Linked DNA regions of Arabidopsis thaliana. The protein of the gene in region 1 interacts with the protein of each later gene in a pairwise test. Each region holds a gene or a part of one and is shown in the gene's direction. Other genes may lie near its edges.

What was found.
Region 2: the proteins of SWI2 (region 1) and SHL1 interact in a two-hybrid assay, tested with the Arabidopsis thaliana proteins (one large-scale study listed by BioGRID).

The regions. Positions count from the first base shown.
Region 1 is NC_003070.9:933,054-943,126, forward strand, and holds SWI2 (switch 2), read left to right. Parts: upstream 1-4,772; 5' UTR 4,773-4,866; coding exon 4,867-5,256; intron 5,257-5,370; coding exon 5,371-5,477; intron 5,478-5,580; coding exon 5,581-6,747; intron 6,748-6,822; coding exon 6,823-6,949; intron 6,950-7,038; coding exon 7,039-7,314; intron 7,315-7,399; coding exon 7,400-7,625; intron 7,626-7,719; coding exon 7,720-8,015; 3' UTR 8,016-8,109; downstream 8,110-10,073. Other genes in the region: AT1G03740 (Protein kinase superfamily protein), read left to right, coding at 1,002-1,655, 1,732-2,016, 2,111-2,428, 2,517-2,744, 2,829-3,044, 3,136-3,519, 3,602-3,739; AT1G03760 (Prefoldin chaperone subunit family protein), read right to left, coding at 8,158-8,214, 8,313-8,378, 8,484-8,519, 8,641-8,741, 8,862-8,895, 8,978-9,052, 9,134-9,514, 9,600-9,767 and 2 more. UniProt on the Arabidopsis thaliana protein: May be involved in early DNA damage response. Probable chromatin remodeling factor.
Region 2 is NC_003075.7:18,216,222-18,225,486, reverse strand, and holds SHL1 (PHD finger family protein / bromo-adjacent homology (BAH) domain-containing protein), read left to right. Parts: upstream 1-5,162; 5' UTR 5,163-5,352; coding exon 5,353-5,425; intron 5,426-5,507; coding exon 5,508-5,853; intron 5,854-6,082; coding exon 6,083-6,151; intron 6,152-6,733; coding exon 6,734-6,866; intron 6,867-7,123; coding exon 7,124-7,189; 3' UTR 7,190-7,858; downstream 7,859-9,265. Other genes in the region: AT4G39110 (Malectin/receptor-like protein kinase family protein), read left to right, coding at 368-3,004; RD19 (Papain family cysteine protease), read left to right, coding at 8,161-8,619, 8,733-8,852, 9,134-9,265. UniProt on the Arabidopsis thaliana protein: Chromatin remodeling factor that binds to methylated histone (e.g. H3K4me2/3) to prevent their acetylation (e.g. H3K9K14Ac), likely by recruiting histone deacetylase (HDAC) complexes, and thus regulate the transcription of target genes.

The DNA.
Region 1 (10,073 bases):
AATTCTGAACTTCTTTATACTCGTGATTAATTTCTTATATTTTTGTCTTCACTGTTTTAGTCCACATGTTAAATTATAAGAACTTCATACACGAAAACTAAACAATTAAAAAAAAAAAAAAAAACTAAACAATTAGAATAATTTCAAACGAAATAAAAAGTCAATACAATTAGTCTTGTAAGAGCGATGATCAAATAGATTGAAAGACTATAATAATGCTCTAAGTTTATTTTAAAATTTTCAACCAATTTTATCTACCATTTAAAAGGTTGACAAAAAAAAAATGTTGACTAAAACAAGTCTTGATACAATTATTTGAATAGGCTGAATGATGATACCAATCAAACTTACATTTAATAAAATCTGAACATTTTAAAAAATAAAAATAAATGAAAGAGAATTCCATGAATGATGATGAGATAGAGCCATAGAGAGACTGAGAGAGAGAGATGTGGAGAAAAATCTAACTTTGGTCGACGAAAGGCGGCTAAGTTGGTTATTGACATTTAGCTATTTTTTTTATGAATCCGTTCATACATCGATCGATGATAGTGACTCACTCTACGTAATCGTTTAATTAGTCAAATCTGCTACAACTAACAAATAAAAATCTCCCCTTTCCTTACATATTCTCTCCGCAACCCTCTTTGATTCTATTCAACGCTTTGCCTAAAGTCAATCTTCATCAATTTCTCTCCATTCCTTCACTCAATTCCGGCCAAAGTTTTGATTTTTCCGGTTCGAATCACTCTTTCTGGGGATTTCACAGTGTACTGTGTGTGGTCTTCCGAAGAAGAAGAAGAATTCAAAAATACGATCTTGTTGGTTTTCGTGAATTGGGTATTTCCCGCTGAGCCGTTGAAGTTGTGTGTTTGTTCTGAGTGGATTGAAATTAGGGTTTAGATTTTAGGGAAGTGAATGGATTGGGTTGTGAATAATAAAGGTTAAGTTTTTCTGTAGATTGGTTATGTGTGTAGATTCATGTTCTAGAGAGCATACGAATGGGTTGTGTGAATTCTAGGCATAGGCCTTTTAGAAGAAAGTCAACAACACTGAAAGAGTCATCAGAGGAGAAACGTTCCTCTCGGATTGATTCGTCGAGGAGGATTGATGATTGGATTCAACCGGAAGATGGGTTTGATAGATTGAGTAACAGTGGAGATGCTAAAGTTAGGTTGATTGAATCCGAAATGTTTAGTACAAGTAGGTGTCATGATCATCAGATTGGGAAGATATTAGAGAATCCTGCGACAGTTGCTCATATGGATAGAGTTGTGCATGATCAGGAATTGAGAAGGGCCTCTAGTGCTGTTGTAGACTCGGACTTGGATATTGATCCAAAGGTTGTTAAGGCCAAGCTAGATAGATGGAATAGCAAAGATTCCAAAGTTCGGTTGATTGAATCTGAAAAGTTGAGTTCTAGCATGTTTTCTGAGCATCATCAGATAGAGAAGGGAGTAGAGAAACCTGAGGTTGAAGCTTCGGTTCGAGTGGTTCATCGGGAACTGAAGAGGGGTTCAAGCATTGTTAGTCCAAAGGATGCAGAGCGGAAGCAAGTGGCAGCAGGATGGCCGTCTTGGCTGGTCTCTGTTGCTGGTGAGTCACTAGTGGATTGGGCTCCACGACGAGCAAATACTTTTGAAAAGCTGGAGAAAGTAAGTTTCTTTTGTTACCACTCTTTGGTCCAGATCCTGTTTCTGTTTAATAGAACCTTCTTTCTTATGGATGCAGATTGGCCAAGGAACATATAGCAGCGTATACAGAGCTCGCGATCTTCTTCATAACAAGATTGTTGCGCTAAAAAAAGTCCGGTTTGATCTTAACGATATGGAAAGTGTTAAGTTTATGGCAAGAGAGATCATAGTAATGCGACGGCTTGATCATCCTAATGTCCTGAAATTGGAAGGATTGATCACTGCCCCTGTCTCATCGTCCCTTTACTTAGTTTTTGAGTACATGGATCATGATCTCTTAGGACTTTCTTCACTACCTGGTGTCAAGTTTACAGAGCCTCAGGTACTGCACATAAATGTTGAGCTACCCTAATGTCAAAAGCATAGATTTTTCTTTCCGCTTCAAAATCCGTTTCTTTTATGTTTCTGTTGTTTAGGTTAAATGTTACATGCGACAACTTCTAAGTGGGCTTGAACATTGTCACAGCCGTGGCGTTCTTCACCGTGATATAAAAGGCTCAAACCTACTAATTGACAGTAAGGGAGTCTTGAAGATAGCAGATTTTGGGTTAGCAACTTTTTTCGACCCTGCAAAAAGTGTTTCATTGACTAGCCATGTTGTCACTCTTTGGTACCGGCCACCAGAACTTTTGCTTGGAGCCTCTCATTACGGTGTTGGGGTTGATTTATGGAGCACAGGTTGCATCTTAGGTGAATTATATGCCGGTAAACCGATCCTCCCTGGAAAAACCGAGGTATGCAAATTCTCGTAGATTTCATTTCCTCCAAATTCAGGTTGCATCTTGTTTGCTTCAACTCAAATGTAGCCCTTAATCTTTCTAGGTAGAACAATTGCATAAAATCTTCAAGCTTTGCGGTTCACCAACAGAAAATTACTGGAGAAAACAGAAGTTACCATCTTCAGCTGGATTCAAAACCGCGATTCCTTATAGGCGGAAAGTATCAGAGATGTTTAAGGACTTTCCTGCAAGTGTTCTTTCACTTTTAGAGACTTTACTCTCCATAGATCCTGATCACCGGAGCTCTGCAGATCGTGCCCTTGAGAGTGAGGTAACTGGTTCATGATGTTTTACTATGTTCTTGGTTTACTGAGATCATGGAAGCATTAGTGACAAAACTCTGTTCTTTTGTCAGTACTTCAAAACCAAGCCGTTTGCTTGCGATCCATCGAACTTACCAAAATATCCTCCTAGTAAAGAGATTGATGCGAAAATGCGTGATGAAGCGAAAAGGCAACAACCTATGAGGGCGGAGAAACAAGAAAGACAAGACTCTATGACGAGAATATCACACGAGAGAAAATTTGTACCACCGGTCAAAGCAAATAACTCTCTGTCAATGACAATGGAGGTAAGTAACTGTAAAAGGTCCTAGCTTTTATGGTCACAATGACCGTGGAGGTAACTAACTGTAAAGCAAATCACTCTTTTGGCAAATGCAGAAACAATATAAAGATTTGAGGAGTAGGAACGATAGTTTCAAGTCGTTTAAGGAGGAGAGGACTCCTCATGGACCAGTTCCTGATTATCAAAATATGCAGCACAACAGAAACAATCAAACTGGTGTGAGAATTTCACACTCAGGTCCATTGATGAGCAACCGGAACATGGCTAAGTCAACAATGCATGTGAAGGAGAATGCACTTCCTAGATACCCTCCAGCTAGAGTAAACCCGAAGATGTTATCAGGCTCAGTCTCCTCCAAAACATTATTAGAACGGCAAGATCAACCAGTCACGAACCAAAGAAGAAGAGATCGGCGAGCATACAATAGAGCTGATACTATGGATAGTAGACATATGACAGCACCAATTGACCCATCTTGGGTTAGTTAATGATCTCTGTTTTTTTATTTTCTCGTATCAGAGCAGCTGTTTTCTTTTACTAACATTCATTGTTGTGTTTCAGTATAATCCTAGTGATAGCAAGATTTACATGTCAGGACCATTGTTGGCTCAGCCAAGCAGAGTGGACCAGATGCTTGAAGAACATGACAGACAGCTTCAGGAATTCAATAGACAGGCACTCAAGACACCACAAGGCTGAAATCATTGGAAGAGCCAAATTATTGAGCGTTCTAAAAAGCCGAATCAGTTGAGTCAGATTTGTCACTATAATCTATTGGTTTCATAAATTGAGTTGATGTGATCGGCTTAAAGGCATAAACCACTACTGTTCGTATAGAGTTCGCTGTGTGTACATATATACAAAATCCCTTTGAATTCATTATTCCTTCTAAAATTGATTGTTGTTCCGTTGTAATTATAAGGTTTAATTGTAATATTTGGTTGCCTCAGAATCACAATCTCTCTTTGCAGCTTAAGAACATCCGTAGATTCAAATTGAATTATCCACTTAATAAACCGAGAATTAAGGTAACCTATCTTCAAAACCATAAAATTCAATTACAAACAGAACGGAAAAACTTGTTTTTGAAACGAAAAAAGAAATTTAACTGAAGATCAGAATATGATGTCATTCTCATACACAGAATCTGTGTCAGAAGGTGTCCTAAGATTTATCTGATTTCTCATCATTTCTCCAGCATTACTATTTTTCCAATACCAAAAGATACAAATCCAATTTAAACAAAAACGTCGAGAGAATTCTCCAAAACCGTCAAACAAAAATATAAAAAATCCAACTTTTGTAAGAATCAGAAAGAACGTAGCGAGTTGAAATTTTTGTCGATCATATGAATCAAAAGACCATCACCGATATACAACTTTCATCATATTCTACACAAAACCTCTTGAAAATCAAATAATTCACCAAAACATTAAAGAAAAACCAAAAACCAAGATTGGGTTGAATCGACAAATGGTGACTTTTCTCGGCGTTATCAAGAAGGAGATTGCTATATATAAGAGATGCACGAGAAACCCTAAACCTAAAAGCATGTTTGGAAACAAATAATATTTGGGCTTCTCTTGGATGCTATTCGAACTCGGCCCATTATTACTGCCACAAGTACAGTTTGGGCTTCGTTTCTATCCGTATTTGGCCCATTAAAACTGCACATGTATAATGTATTTCCCTTTCTAGCCTCTTATTTTCTTCAAATTAGAATAACAGCAAGTAAGTTTTCAAATTGCTAAATATTACGACTTTATTTCAGTTTCTCGAAAAAAGCAAGTCTTTTTCCTTTGCTCTCGCAACGCGATCGATTAGCGATGTCGTTGTTACACACTTTCAAAGAGACATTGAAGCCCTGTGGTAGTTTTCCGTCATCATCATCGTTGCGAGTTTCATCCACACAAGAATTGGAACCGTCGAGAAAACCTCCCAAATCGTCGCTCTCGCAGCAGCTTCTGCGTCTCGATGATTCTTACTTTTTACCCTCAAAGCACGAATCTAAAATCTCAAAAACCCAAGTCGAAGATTTTGATCATAACGAAGATGATCACAAAAGAAACATCAAGTTCGACGAAGAAGAAGTAGATGAAGACGATGAGAGATCAATTGAATTCGGGAGACCCGGGTTAAGCCGGGCTGAATTTGACTATTCCGGTCCTTATGAACCACTTATGCTGTCATCAATTGGAGAGATTCCGATCATACATGTTATTTTCTTACCAAAGTCTTTAACTTTTGCTCATGTTTAATGGAACTCAAGTGTTGATGGTTCTTCTCAAATTCTGGAAATTATTTGAATTTGCCTTATGATTTTGTTGTAGGTACCGGCTTCTATCAACTGTAGATTGCTTGAACATCAGCGAGAGGGAGTGAAGTTTATGTATAATCTCTATAAAAACAACCATGGTGGCATTCTTGGCGATGACATGTGAGTTCTTCTTACATGAGAATGTTCTTGTGCATTTGAATCTGTAGCTGTAATAGTTTATGTTTGGGTGATAATGGAACTCTGATAATAAGTATTGACTCAGGGGGTTAGGCAAGACCATTCAGACAATTGCATTTCTTGCTGCAGTGTATGGAAAAGACGGTGACGCTGGTGAGTCATGTCTTTTAGAGTCTGATAAGGGTCCTGTACTAATAATCTGTCCATCTTCGATTATTCACAACTGGGAGAGTGAGTTTTCTCGATGGGCAAGCTTCTTCAAGGTTTCGGTGTACCACGGATCAAACAGAGATATGATTCTGGAGAAACTCAAGGCACGCGGTGTTGAGGTACTTGTAACCAGCTTTGATACGTTTCGAATCCAAGGCCCCGTTTTGTCCGGGATTAATTGGGAGATAGTGATTGCTGATGAGGCACACCGGTTAAAGAATGAAAAATCGAAACTTTATGAAGCATGCCTTGAGATCAAGACTAAGAAGAGGATTGGTCTCACGGGTACAGTGATGCAGAACAAGATCAGTGAGCTATTCAATCTTTTTGAGTGGGTAGCACCGGGATCACTAGGCACTCGTGAACATTTCCGAGACTTCTATGATGAACCACTTAAGCTAGGGCAGAGAGCTACTGCTCCGGAAAGATTTGTCCAGATTGCAGATAAGAGGAAACAGCATTTGGGCAGTCTTCTCCGTAAGTATATGTTGAGGAGGACAAAGGAGGAAACCATTGGGCATCTCATGATGGGGAAAGAAGATAATGTAGTCTTTTGTCAAATGAGTCAATTGCAGAGACGGGTTTATCAAAGAATGATTCAACTCCCAGAAATTCAGTGCCTTGTGAATAAGGACAATCCATGCGCTTGTGGAAGCCCGCTTAAGCAATCAGAGTGCTGCAGAAGGATTGTTCCTGATGGAACCATCTGGAGTTACCTTCATCGAGACAACCACGATGGTTGTGATTCTTGTCCTTTCTGCTTGGTGCTTCCATGCCTTATGAAACTTCAGCAGATAAGCAATCATCTGGAGCTTATTAAACCAAACCCAAAAGATGAGCCAGAGAAACAGAAGAAGGACGCAGAGTTTGTATCTACAGTGTTTGGGACAGATATTGATCTATTAGGCGGAATATCTGCAAGCAAGAGCTTCATGGACCTTAGTGATGTTAAACATTGTGGGAAAATGAGAGCTTTGGAGAAGTTGATGGCTTCTTGGATTTCAAAGGGTGATAAGATACTTCTATTCAGTTACTCTGTCAGGTTAGTTTTTGGATTTAGTTTGATGAATGTAGGAGAATATTTGTCGTTGCAAGCTTTTGATCCATTAAATTACAGGATGCTGGACATACTGGAAAAGTTTCTAATTAGAAAAGGTTATAGCTTTGCTAGACTTGATGGTTCTACTCCAACTAATCTGCGACAGTCTCTTGTGGATGATTTCAATGCGAGTCCTAGCAAACAGGTTTTTATTAACCGAACCCTTTTCGATAGAGATCATGTTTCTTCTTACCTACTTCTGATCTGATGATTAAATGAGCTTTTATGTGTCAGGTTTTTCTGATATCAACTAAAGCTGGTGGGTTGGGACTAAACCTTGTGAGCGCGAACCGTGTGGTTATATTTGACCCAAATTGGAACCCGTCTCATGACTTGCAAGCGCAAGATAGATCATTTCGGTATGGACAGAAACGTCATGTGGTGGTTTTTCGTTTGTTGAGTGCTGGTTCCCTTGAGGAACTAGTTTATACAAGACAAGTATACAAACAACAGCTCTCAAACATTGCGGTTGCAGGGAAAATGGAGACAAGGTACTTTGAAGGCGTCCAGGTATGTAGAAATATACAGTCTTTAATTTATTAGCCTTATTAAAGAGATTGTTCGCTATTCTAATGTTTTGGTGTCTTGTGATCAGGACTGTAAAGAGTTTCAAGGCGAGCTATTCGGGATTTCAAATCTGTTCCGTGATCTCTCTGATAAGCTCTTCACTAGCGATATTGTTGAGTTGCATAGGGATAGTAACATCGATGAGAATAAGAAGAGATCACTGCTTGAGACAGGTGTTTCAGAAGATGAAAAAGAAGAAGAGGTCATGTGCTCTTACAAACCCGAAATGGAGAAACCTATCCTTAAGGACTTGGGTAAGAATAAGACTGATCTGTGCTCATCTATCCTTGACTACATTTTCTTAAGTCTTTACAATATTTGGTCGGGCTTGTGTGACTCTTTATATAGGCATTGTGTATGCACATCGAAATGAAGACATCATCAACATTGGAGAGACAACAACATCAACATCTCAGAGGTTAAATGGAGACGGTAACAGTGCGGATCGAAAGAAAAAGAAGAGAAAAGGTTGTAGTGAAGAGGAGGATATGTCTTCTTCAAATAGGGAACAAAAACGAGAGAAGTACAAGATGTTAGCCGAGTTTAAAGGCATGGAGATATTGGAGTTTAGTAGATGGGTATTGTCAGCGTCTCCATTTGACAGAGAGAAGCTACTTCAAGACTTTTTAGAAAGAGTCAAGTAACAATGTCAGATTTTTTTATGTAGATTTTGTTAATTAACTGTATATAGAGTAAGCTTACAAGGTTGCGCACATTTGCATGTGTTCTTACTTCTTACATATCATAAAGGCAACTCAACAAAAAATTGTACACAGAGCTGACTGGCTACCTTCTCTTCGCCCTGAATCTCGACACTGGTTTAGACGGTTGAGACGTAGAAGACTGTTGACATATAACAAGATAACAAACAAAAAAAATGTAATAAGAATCATGTTTCCTGCATTTATGAGTGTTGTGTAGTTCGAGTGATTAAAAAGTACCTGCGTTTGGCTGTGTGCGCTGGTCTCTAGAATATGGGCATGCTCTACGATTGATCCAGTAAAAGCCTGCACGAGTTGGATCAGAAATTTAGTGAGCTTAAAGGAAAATCAGATCTATCTGAGCAACTATACAACTTGCTAACGCTTGGCCGAAAGAGATGTGTATGTAACCTTGGTAGAATCAAACTCGGGCTCTGGCTTCTGTGGCTGCACCCAAAAAAAGTTGGCATGATTATTTGTGAGATGCTTGTGAATGATAAGTTTTGTTGCAGAAAACATGTCCATAATGCAAGGTAGTTAGCTTGATTTCGAATATAGATCTAAATACCTCAATCTTTTGTGGTCCTAAAACATTGGTTTTTGCATTCGTTCGAAAGTCTTTCCATGTTTCAGCGTTTTGCTGAGGGGTTCCGCCACGTGATTGACCTTCTGGTAATAAAAGAACATAGATGTTGGTTAGAGAATTGTTTTCAGGAAGATGATTCAATGTTGAATATATTAATTTGACACTTTTCTGATGTCTGAAATGCTTTAGATCATAACGCTAACCTTTGGAAAGATATTGTGCCATTGGTCGGATACGCTGCAATAACAGGCAATATCTGAGAAGGAGCTGTAAAACGCTAATGAAATCAGAGAACATCAAAGTGAAGGGGTTTTCTTACATTCAGCGGATCATCTAGATCTTTGTGTGGATGTGTCTCTGGTAACACTTGAATAATTTTGGCTTCGACCCTTGGCTGGATTATAAGTAAATAAACTTTAGGAAAACCCATTAACCATAAACATGAACCCAGATGTTAAATTTCCTTGGAAAATACCTCTGAGACCCTCGGTGAAGAGCTATGACCGGAAGCTTTGTTAGGAACAGATATGGTAGTTTCTTGTTTCCCGTATTCAACCCTACCACGGTCTGTCTCACCTCTACTTCCTTTCACCAAATCATGCTGGATCTGTTCCACACTTTCTACTGAAGAATCAGGATCTTCACCTCTACTATCCCCATCTTCACCCTCCAGTTCTTCCTCTATTTCAAGTTCATTCAACCTGGCCATGATTCTTGCAAAGTCATCGTCTTCAAGTTCACCTTCTTCAGTCTCTCCTTCAGAAAGATTACAAGGCTCTTTTTCACTTGAATGTATCACAACAGGTGCAGAAGAATCTTCTTCTACATACTCTTCTCTTATCTCAACAAGTCCATCCTATAAAAAATGATAACACCGGTTAAGATACATATGCAGAATCAAGAAAAAGGAACACACGATCCACTCTTTCAGCAAAACCTACCGCTACTTCAGAAGCAGTTGTAGTGAAGAATGAAGCCTCCGTTTGAAGATCTTCAATCTCAGCTTTAAGAGAATGAATTTGAGACTGTAAAGTCTTGTCTCTTCTCTTCAGGAAATCAACAGTTTGTTTCGATGATCTATCAGTATAGTAATTCTCTCCCAACAACACCTATATGAAATCACAAAACATAATCCTTTAAATTTGAAATTTACACTAACCTCAATAGCTTACTCTTAAACCTCATAGCAAAACGATACTAGAATCAAATTACATGTATCCTGCCATTGAAATCGAGAAGAGAGAACATATAATCATCATGAAACTTACCAAACACTCGTTGGTGTGAATCAATCGACCTGGGAAAAAAGCCATTTTACCGAATGGAACCTGTTTACACAAAAGCACCAACTACATTAAACGGGAGCAAAATTGAATCATAAGGAGAGGAAGTCAAAGGATTAAAAATTCACCATA
Region 2 (9,265 bases), on another chromosome or scaffold:
TGTTTGATAAATAAAAAACTGATAGTTAGGTTATGATTCTGGTTAGAGCTTGTTTTTTTTTTTTTTCTTGAAATAGGAACCAGAGTTATTTTATTTTTGGCTTTGTGTTAAAATTGTCAAGATAACAGAATTAGCAATTTGCTAAATATAGACCATTGAATATCATCAATGCTCATATCCTCCACCAAATTACAGCATACTCCAAAAACTGGCCACACATATAACAACTCACCTTTTCTCTCTTTCATGACCTTTTTTTCTCCCTCTTTTCTTCAACCACAAGCTATCCAACAAACTCCCTCATTCCTTCTTATCTTTGTTCCTCCTCATCCCCCTCTCTTCTCTCTCTCCTTCCCACCCAGGAGGGATGGAGATAAGAAAGAAACCAAACATATTCACGGTTCTCGTCATTGATTTTTCTTCAAAGCCTTCCATGGCTCTCCTTCTGGCTATTCTCCTTTTCCTCTCAGGCCCTTCTGCATCTGCGGTAGCTGCAGCTGCTGTGGGACCTGCTACTGGTTTTAAACCGGCAGATGATATTCTCATTGATTGTGGAAGCAAATCGTCATCAAAAACCCCTGATGGAAGAGTCTTTAAGAGTGACCAAGAAACAATCCAATACATAGAAGCCAAGGAAGATATTCAGGTCTCAGCCCCGCCTTCAGACAAGGTCGCATCTCCTATCTACCTAACTGCAAGGATCTTCCGTGAGGAAGCCACCTACAAATTCCATTTGACTCGACCTGGTTGGCATTGGGTTCGCCTGCATTTCTTGGCCTTCCCTAATGACAAGTTCGATCTCCAACAAGCAACCTTTTCCGTTTTAACGGAGAAATATGTGCTGCTTCATAACTTCAAAATAAGTAACAACAACAATGATAGTCAAGCTGCTGTTCAGAAGGAGTATCTCGTCAACATGACAGATGCTCAATTCGCCCTCAGGTTCAGACCTATGAAAAGCTCTGCAGCGTTCATCAACGCTATCGAAGTCGTGTCAGCTCCAGACGAACTGATCTCTGATTCTGGCACTGCCCTTTTCCCTGTCATTGGGTTCTCGGGTCTGTCTGACTACGCTTACCAGTCTGTTTATAGAGTCAATGTCGGCGGTCCCTTGATCATGCCTCAGAATGATACATTAGGAAGAACCTGGATACCCGATAAGGAATTCTTGAAAGATGAGAACTTGGCAAAGGACGTTAAAACAACCCCTTCGGCAATCAAGTACCCACCGGAAGTTACACCTTTGATTGCTCCACAGACGGTTTATGCAACAGCTGTAGAAATGGCTAATTCTCTCACCATAGACCCTAATTTTAACGTCTCCTGGAATTTCCCCTCCAACCCATCGTTTAACTACCTTATCCGGCTTCATTTCTGTGATATCGTTAGCAAGTCTCTCAATGACCTGTACTTTAATGTGTACATTAACGGGAAAACTGCCATTTCTGGACTGGATTTGTCCACTGTCGCTGGGAATCTAGCTGCTCCTTACTACAAAGACATCGTTGTGAACGCAACACTTATGGGCCCTGAGCTCCAAGTCCAGATTGGTCCCATGGGAGAAGATACAGGGACCAAAAACGCGATCTTGAACGGTGTTGAGGTTCTGAAGATGAGCAATTCCGTGAACAGCCTTGATGGAGAGTTTGGAGTGGATGGTAGAACCACTGGCATGGGGAAGCATGGTATGGTAGCAACCGCGGGGTTTGTGATGATGTTTGGAGCTTTCATTGGTCTGGGAGCCATGGTTTACAAGTGGAAGAAGAGGCCACAAGATTGGCAGAAGAGAAATAGTTTCTCCTCTTGGTTGCTACCAATACATGCTGGTGATAGCACTTTCATGACAAGCAAAGGTGGTTCTCAGAAATCCAACTTCTACAACTCAACACTTGGTCTCGGCCGCTATTTCTCCCTTTCAGAGCTTCAAGAAGCCACAAAGAACTTTGAAGCATCCCAGATTATCGGTGTTGGAGGATTCGGTAACGTCTACATTGGAACCCTCGACGATGGAACCAAAGTCGCTGTCAAAAGAGGTAATCCACAGTCTGAACAAGGAATCACTGAGTTTCAGACAGAGATCCAGATGCTTTCTAAGCTCAGACACAGACACTTGGTCTCCTTGATTGGTTACTGTGACGAGAACTCTGAGATGATCTTAGTCTATGAGTTCATGTCCAATGGTCCATTCAGGGACCACTTGTATGGAAAGAACCTTGCTCCTCTAACCTGGAAACAAAGACTCGAGATATGTATCGGATCTGCACGTGGGCTTCACTACTTACACACAGGAACAGCTCAGGGGATTATCCACCGTGATGTCAAATCCACCAACATTCTTCTCGATGAAGCTTTAGTTGCAAAAGTCGCTGACTTTGGTCTTTCTAAAGATGTAGCTTTTGGACAAAACCATGTCAGCACGGCCGTGAAAGGAAGTTTCGGGTACTTAGACCCGGAGTACTTTAGAAGACAACAACTTACCGACAAATCCGATGTTTATTCCTTTGGTGTCGTTCTTCTAGAAGCTCTGTGCGCAAGACCAGCCATCAATCCTCAGCTACCAAGAGAGCAGGTTAACTTAGCTGAATGGGCGATGCAATGGAAACGAAAAGGACTTCTTGAAAAGATCATTGATCCTCATTTGGCTGGAACGATTAATCCTGAATCGATGAAGAAGTTTGCTGAAGCTGCAGAGAAGTGTTTAGAAGACTACGGTGTCGATAGGCCAACAATGGGAGATGTTCTGTGGAACTTGGAGTATGCTCTTCAGCTTCAAGAGGCATTCACTCAGGGCAAAGCAGAAGAGACCGAGAACGCTAAGCCTGATGTGGTGACACCTGGCTCGGTGCCTGTGTCTGATCCATCTCCGATCACTCCCTCAGTCACCACCAACGAAGCGGCTACTGTTCCGGTTCCTGCTAAGGTGGAAGAGAACAGTGGCACGGCCGTGGATGAACACTCTGGAACAGCCATGTTTACTCAGTTTGCTAACCTTAACGGAAGATAAAAACAAACTAACAGATAAATAATTAAAAAAGGACATAAAGAATGCACCAAACCGAATTTGTCGTTATAAACAGTAATTGCAATAGAAAAAACTTGACTTTTTAAGGTGATATATTTGTTTCTTTGTATGTTTTTTTGGTGGTGGTCGGGGAGATGTGTGTGATATTTCTATATTTTGGTGTATTTTATAAAATTTATATATTTTTTGTATGAAGTGTAATTTTGTGGGTGGATATGTATATGTATGTATGTGTACTTCTAAATGCTCTGCTGCATTTACTTTACTTATCCTCCTTCATTGTAGTTGTTAATATTAGCTTACAAATACAAATTCACATTGAAACATAAGTGTGTGTGAATCTTACTTGAAATTTACATCATTTTGTACACACAGGAAACAAAAAGTTCTCTTTTTGTATTCTAAGAAAGTTGGTTTTACAGTCTGGACTCTGAGCATCTGTTTCAGAGTAGACCAGAAAAGATCTGTTTCAGAGTAAAAAAATTTTTATCATCTGGTTTTGCAAATGAATCTCTTCTCTAAGAAAGTACCTAAACATTAACTGGGGAATAATGTGTTCGTTCTCCCATAGTCTTTGGAAAAAAAGGGTAACCTATTCTCGTACTTTGTTGTCTAGTGTAAACTCTAGTTAAAGCTGTCACATTTGAACCTGAATTAGTAATATTAAGGAAAAGGAACTCAATGGTTTGTGTGTTGTTATATATTGGATTCAAGCTTTGATTCATTGAATGGAATTTTAGTGTTTGGTTTACGACCTCTGTTAGTTAATAATCATAGACACCATTTCCTTCTTTAGATGGGTTAGTTTGGTTCTAATCAGGGAAAGCCATTAATTTTTCCATCTAATCATTGTAGAAACCTTGCAATATTGTGTATATGTAAACATACACAATCGTAAATGTTTGGATATCAAACTCTTCACAAGTGTTTGTAGGAGAGGAAGTATAGGTGAGAAAAGATTAGGGTCAGTCACAGATTCTGCAAAAAGTAAGAGAACCATGAAAGTAAAATAAAACATAAACCCAGAAATAGAAACCATTCCCTTCAATTAAGCAAATGAGTTCTCTTTCCTTTTCTCTTCTTATGTGTATATATAGAAATGAATAGCTTAAATTTTCCCACAAAAGCCAAAGAGACCCAAATTATTGTTTTATTTTGTTTTTGTTACCTCGCTTATATCTATTATCATGGAAAACATAAGTGGGTTGGCTTTTGATATGGGAGAGCTAAGAAACAACCTTCCCAAAAAGTAAAATCCTGAAAAAGGATTTCATTGATTATGATTGTTTGTTTAAGTTATGGAAATCCGGATTACTATCTAATTTTGGATTTTGTGAATGGTTGTAAAATAGGAGAGGATTATCAAGGTACTATTCAGGAAAAGCGAGATCATTCATATGTATCTCAGATGTAAAATGCCTTGAGGATCTGAAGAAACCAACCCAAACTTTTGATGACGATGATGATGATGAGGCTTACAAGAAGAGGAAGAAGAAGAACAAGCAATCATCTTCATCTTCATTTTCTGCAGCTATTAACAGCAATGTGAATTTCTCAAACTACCCTTGTCGAAGGGTCTCTAGTAGCACCCACTGTTCCTCACCTTGTGTTGCTTAGGAAAAAAGAAGCTTACACTTTCTCAATTTATTTAGTAGCTCCTTTGGTTTTTATTCTCAACCCAACACTGAAAACACAAACTTCAGTTCAGTGTGTGGGGGCGTCATTCATATCCAATTTTTGATTTTCTTTACTGTTTTTATGTCTTTTTTTTGTGGTTATCTTTTTTTCTTGCGCAAATTATGTAGATTTGGATGTGTTTGTTCCAATTTGCTTATTGGGACAAAAATGTTGGAAATCCTTTCGAATGTAATCATACGTACGCATAGAATTGAATAATAAGTGAATAAATATAGAATTGAAAGGTTCTTAAAATATTCCTTAGCATTTCCTATTTATCTGAAAACATGCAACACACAAAGACAAAGTCAGGACAAGTCATAATGAGTAATTGCTTACGTGGCTAATTTTACATGATTCACGACAAAAGGGAGCGGCCTAGAGGCGCGTATCACACACGCGCTTCCACTTAAAAGCTGACGTGGTCAATTGGCTATCTGACATTCTATTTACCCATTTTCTCCCTTTCTTTCCTCTATATTCACGATCCTGCCATTGTACACCCAATCATACGCTCCTGAGATCCTCATGACTTGTTCTTACCGTACTCCGCGAGACATGCGATTGATGATTCTTGACTGTATTCATTGAGAAAAACTGTTCGCAAAAACCTTGAGCTTCATCATCGTCCATTACTCACCTTTCAGTTTCAGATGCCCAAGCAAAAAGCTCCAAGGAAGCAGCTCAAGTCCTATAAACTCAAACACATCAACAAGAGTATTCAAGGTACGTCTGACTTGTTCATCCTCAATTTGAAATTCGTGGATATTGAAAGTGAATCGTTCGATGTTGTTTTGTGGTTAAAAAGAGGGAGATGCTGTGTTGATGCGGTCGTCGGAGCCTGGAAAACCGTCGTACGTAGCGAGGGTAGAGGCGATCGAGACGGACGCGCGTGGATCGCACGCGAAAGTTCGTGTGAGGTGGTATTATCGCCCTGAGGAATCTATCGGAGGGAGGAGACAATTCCATGGAGCCAAGGAGGTTTTTCTCTCTGACCACTTCGATTTTCAAAGCGCCGATACGATTGAAGGAAAGTGTAAGGTTCACAGTTTCAGTAGCTACACCAAACTTGACTCTGTTGGAAACGACGACTTCTTCTGTCGTTTCGAGTACAATTCCACTACCGGCGCGTTTGATCCTGACAGAGTCACCGTGTATGTGTTCCTACGACTCTCTGTTACTTTATTCGAGAAGAAAATACTGATTGAATGATGGAACTATTATCGGTTGAATTGAGGCTTTTTTGGAAATTAGATTGTGTTGCTTTAGTGTAGGCATTGATTGTTAATAATTCATTGATTTGTCATCTAAATTGGTTTCATGAAGTTGTTTTTGCAAAGAGAAGTAATCAATTGAGTTTAAATTGATTTTTTCTGTTTGCAGGTTCTGCAAGTGTGAGATGCCGTATAACCCAGATGACTTGATGGTGCAATGCGAGGAGTGTTCTGAGTGGTAAGTGTTCACTTATTTGAAACTCTGTTTTAATCTTCTTGAGTCACAATCTGGAATTGCTCGTATGTTTTTCGTGTATCCATGAGGTCCTAGTTGATATGCTATTGAGGTTGCTTGAGATGAATGCTTTTGTCATGCTTTACTTCGGTGATGCTCTTCCTTACTCATGTTCATGTTTTGTCTTATCTGATATTGTGGAAACTGCAGATGAATAGGAACATAAGCTGATACTCTAGTCTGAACGTTTGTAATATCTGTGATTAACATTCTAATGTATATGTTGCGGATTTTCAAATTTTCTTACACGTTACTGATTGAGTCGCTGTTAAGGTTTGGGTTTTTCTGCAGCTTCTTAGTTTGTGCCTTGGGTCTTTCACCCATGTTAGCTTGCTATATGACACAAGTAACGTAAATGAAGTCATACTGAAACAAATAGTGATCGTTTGATCTTGGAAGTTGGAACTGTTAAGTGTTAAGCTTAATCTTTTTACTTTTTTTTTTGTAAAGAGAGGATTAAGGTTTTTTGTTTCGAATGTCTTTGTCAGTTGCCTTTGATGTTACAGCAAACTAACATTGGCTCAGGTTTCATCCTTCTTGTATAGGAACAACAATAGAGGAAGCTAAAAAGCCAGATAACTTCTACTGCGAAGAGTGTTCCCCACAACAGCAGAATTTGCACAACTCTAATTCAACTTCCAATAACAGAGATGCTAAGGTATTTCTCTATTTCTCATTTCAGAAAATATCTTTAGTTTTTGAGGGATGGTCAAACCCGTTGCAAATAGGCTTGAATAAATTTAAGGTATTTAAGTTGACCGTTCGTTCCACATATAAAGCTAGCCTTGCCAACAATTGTAAGCTCTTGGACTGATAAAATATACCAACTTAAGGCAGAATAAACACATAAACCCAAAGTATATGTGTCATTAAGGTCAAAGACAACCTTGTGAAATGTTTTGTCCTAACTAACAGGTGAATGGAAAGCGCAGCCTGGAGGTAACTAAATCGAAGAACAAACACACTAAGCGACCAGGTTAACATAAACTTGTAAAGGCTATAGATATCTGGTTGGTGAGTCTGAGTATCAATCGTGTAATCTACAAAGGTGGTTTTGTTTTCTTTCCCTCTCTAGTTTTTTCTTTCTTAAAAAATGAGGGTTTAGGTTTGTTGGCTTGATTGTTGTATAATTTATATGTATAGCGTATGGTGGTTTCTCATCTCCTTTAGTTGTCACATATAAAATTTGGGTAAAATGGTTTGTTTATAATAAGAAAACAAAACAAACAAACAAACAAAGAGAGTGTTGGTTCCTTATTTGTTTGTTTTCATTGTGAACTCTAGAAACCCTTCATTCTTTATTAGTTTTTCATTCTTTATTAATTCTAAAACGCATATTCAAAGAGACATATTTGATCATCGTGTCTTCATAATTTGGTTCAAAGTACAGCCAAAAACCAGGAGGTACACTAAAAATCAATAAAATTACATTACAAATTATTTTTAGTACACTGGGAACATAAATAAATGAATCAGAGAAGAGAAACATGGCAACTACCGATCATGAGCTTCTACATTTGTCTCAGAAAAAGAGGAAGATAGAACTATTTTTTAAAGTTTTTAGAAAAGAGAGAATTAATATTATCCAAGACAACACGGCACTGCTAACAACAAGTTGAACCTATCCCATTCCATTACTCCATACCCATTCAATGATTAACACGTGGTTCTACATCATTGGTTAACTCTCTCCTTTCCCCTTGGATAAGGCATCTTAAAATAATAATAAATACCATAAATATCTTCCGATTTTTTCTCCGACTATAATAATGATGACAACAATATCTTTTAAAATTATCTTAAAAGAAACCGAAAGCTAATCTCCAAAGGGAAAAAGACGTGTAGCAGAGACCTATACATACACCTATACATTCACGTTGCGTGTGATAATCTACTGAGGGTTCTATCTATATTAATCCTTCTCTGCTTCCTTCAATCTAATTGCAAATCAAATGGATCGTCTTAAGCTTTATTTCTCCGTTTTCGTTTTGTCTTTCTTTATCGTCTCGGTTTCGTCGTCTGATGTCAACGACGGCGATGATCTCGTGATCCGTCAGGTGGTTGGTGGAGCCGAGCCTCAGGTTTTGACCTCAGAGGATCACTTTTCTCTCTTCAAGCGGAAGTTCGGGAAGGTCTACGCTTCCAACGAGGAGCATGACTATAGATTCTCGGTTTTCAAAGCGAATCTCAGGCGAGCGAGGCGTCACCAGAAGTTGGATCCGTCGGCGACTCATGGTGTTACGCAGTTCTCAGATCTGACTCGGTCTGAGTTCCGTAAGAAGCACTTGGGGGTTAGAAGTGGCTTTAAGCTTCCTAAAGATGCCAACAAGGCTCCGATTCTCCCTACCGAAAATCTCCCTGAGGATTTTGATTGGAGAGATCATGGCGCCGTTACTCCCGTCAAAAATCAGGTATTTTACTCGATGATGTCGCAAATTGATGTCTTATCGAATTCGTTGACTCTGGATCAAACTTCAATTCGTTTCTTTGTGCTGATTTGGTCTAATCCTGGTGTACAAATTAGGGATCTTGCGGCTCTTGCTGGAGTTTCAGCGCCACTGGAGCTTTGGAAGGTGCTAACTTCCTCGCTACCGGCAAACTCGTCAGCCTCAGCGAACAACAGCTCGTCGACTGTGATCACGAGGTTTGTCTTTTCTTTCTCTTGAGTCTTGGGATGAGTTTGAAGGACACTGAACATGACTGTGTTGATGTTTGATCACTTATCAATCAATATGTTATCCTAGATATTCACAGTTCTCTCCGGATATGTTGAGATGATAAAACTCACTACTTAGTTCAGGTTGCTTACTTTTAATGATCTTGTTTCTCGTCAGTGCCTAGGGAAGATTCATAATATGACCATAATGGTTAACATGATCTCTGTGAAACTAATCTGATAATTGTTGCTATCATCTCCTTATGCAGTGTGATCCCGAGGAGGCAGATTCCTGCGACTCTGGTTGCAATGGTGGGCTAATGAACAGCGCTTTTGAATACACCCTCAAAACCGGAGGGCTCATGAAAGAAGAAGACTATCCTTACACCGGAAAGGACGGC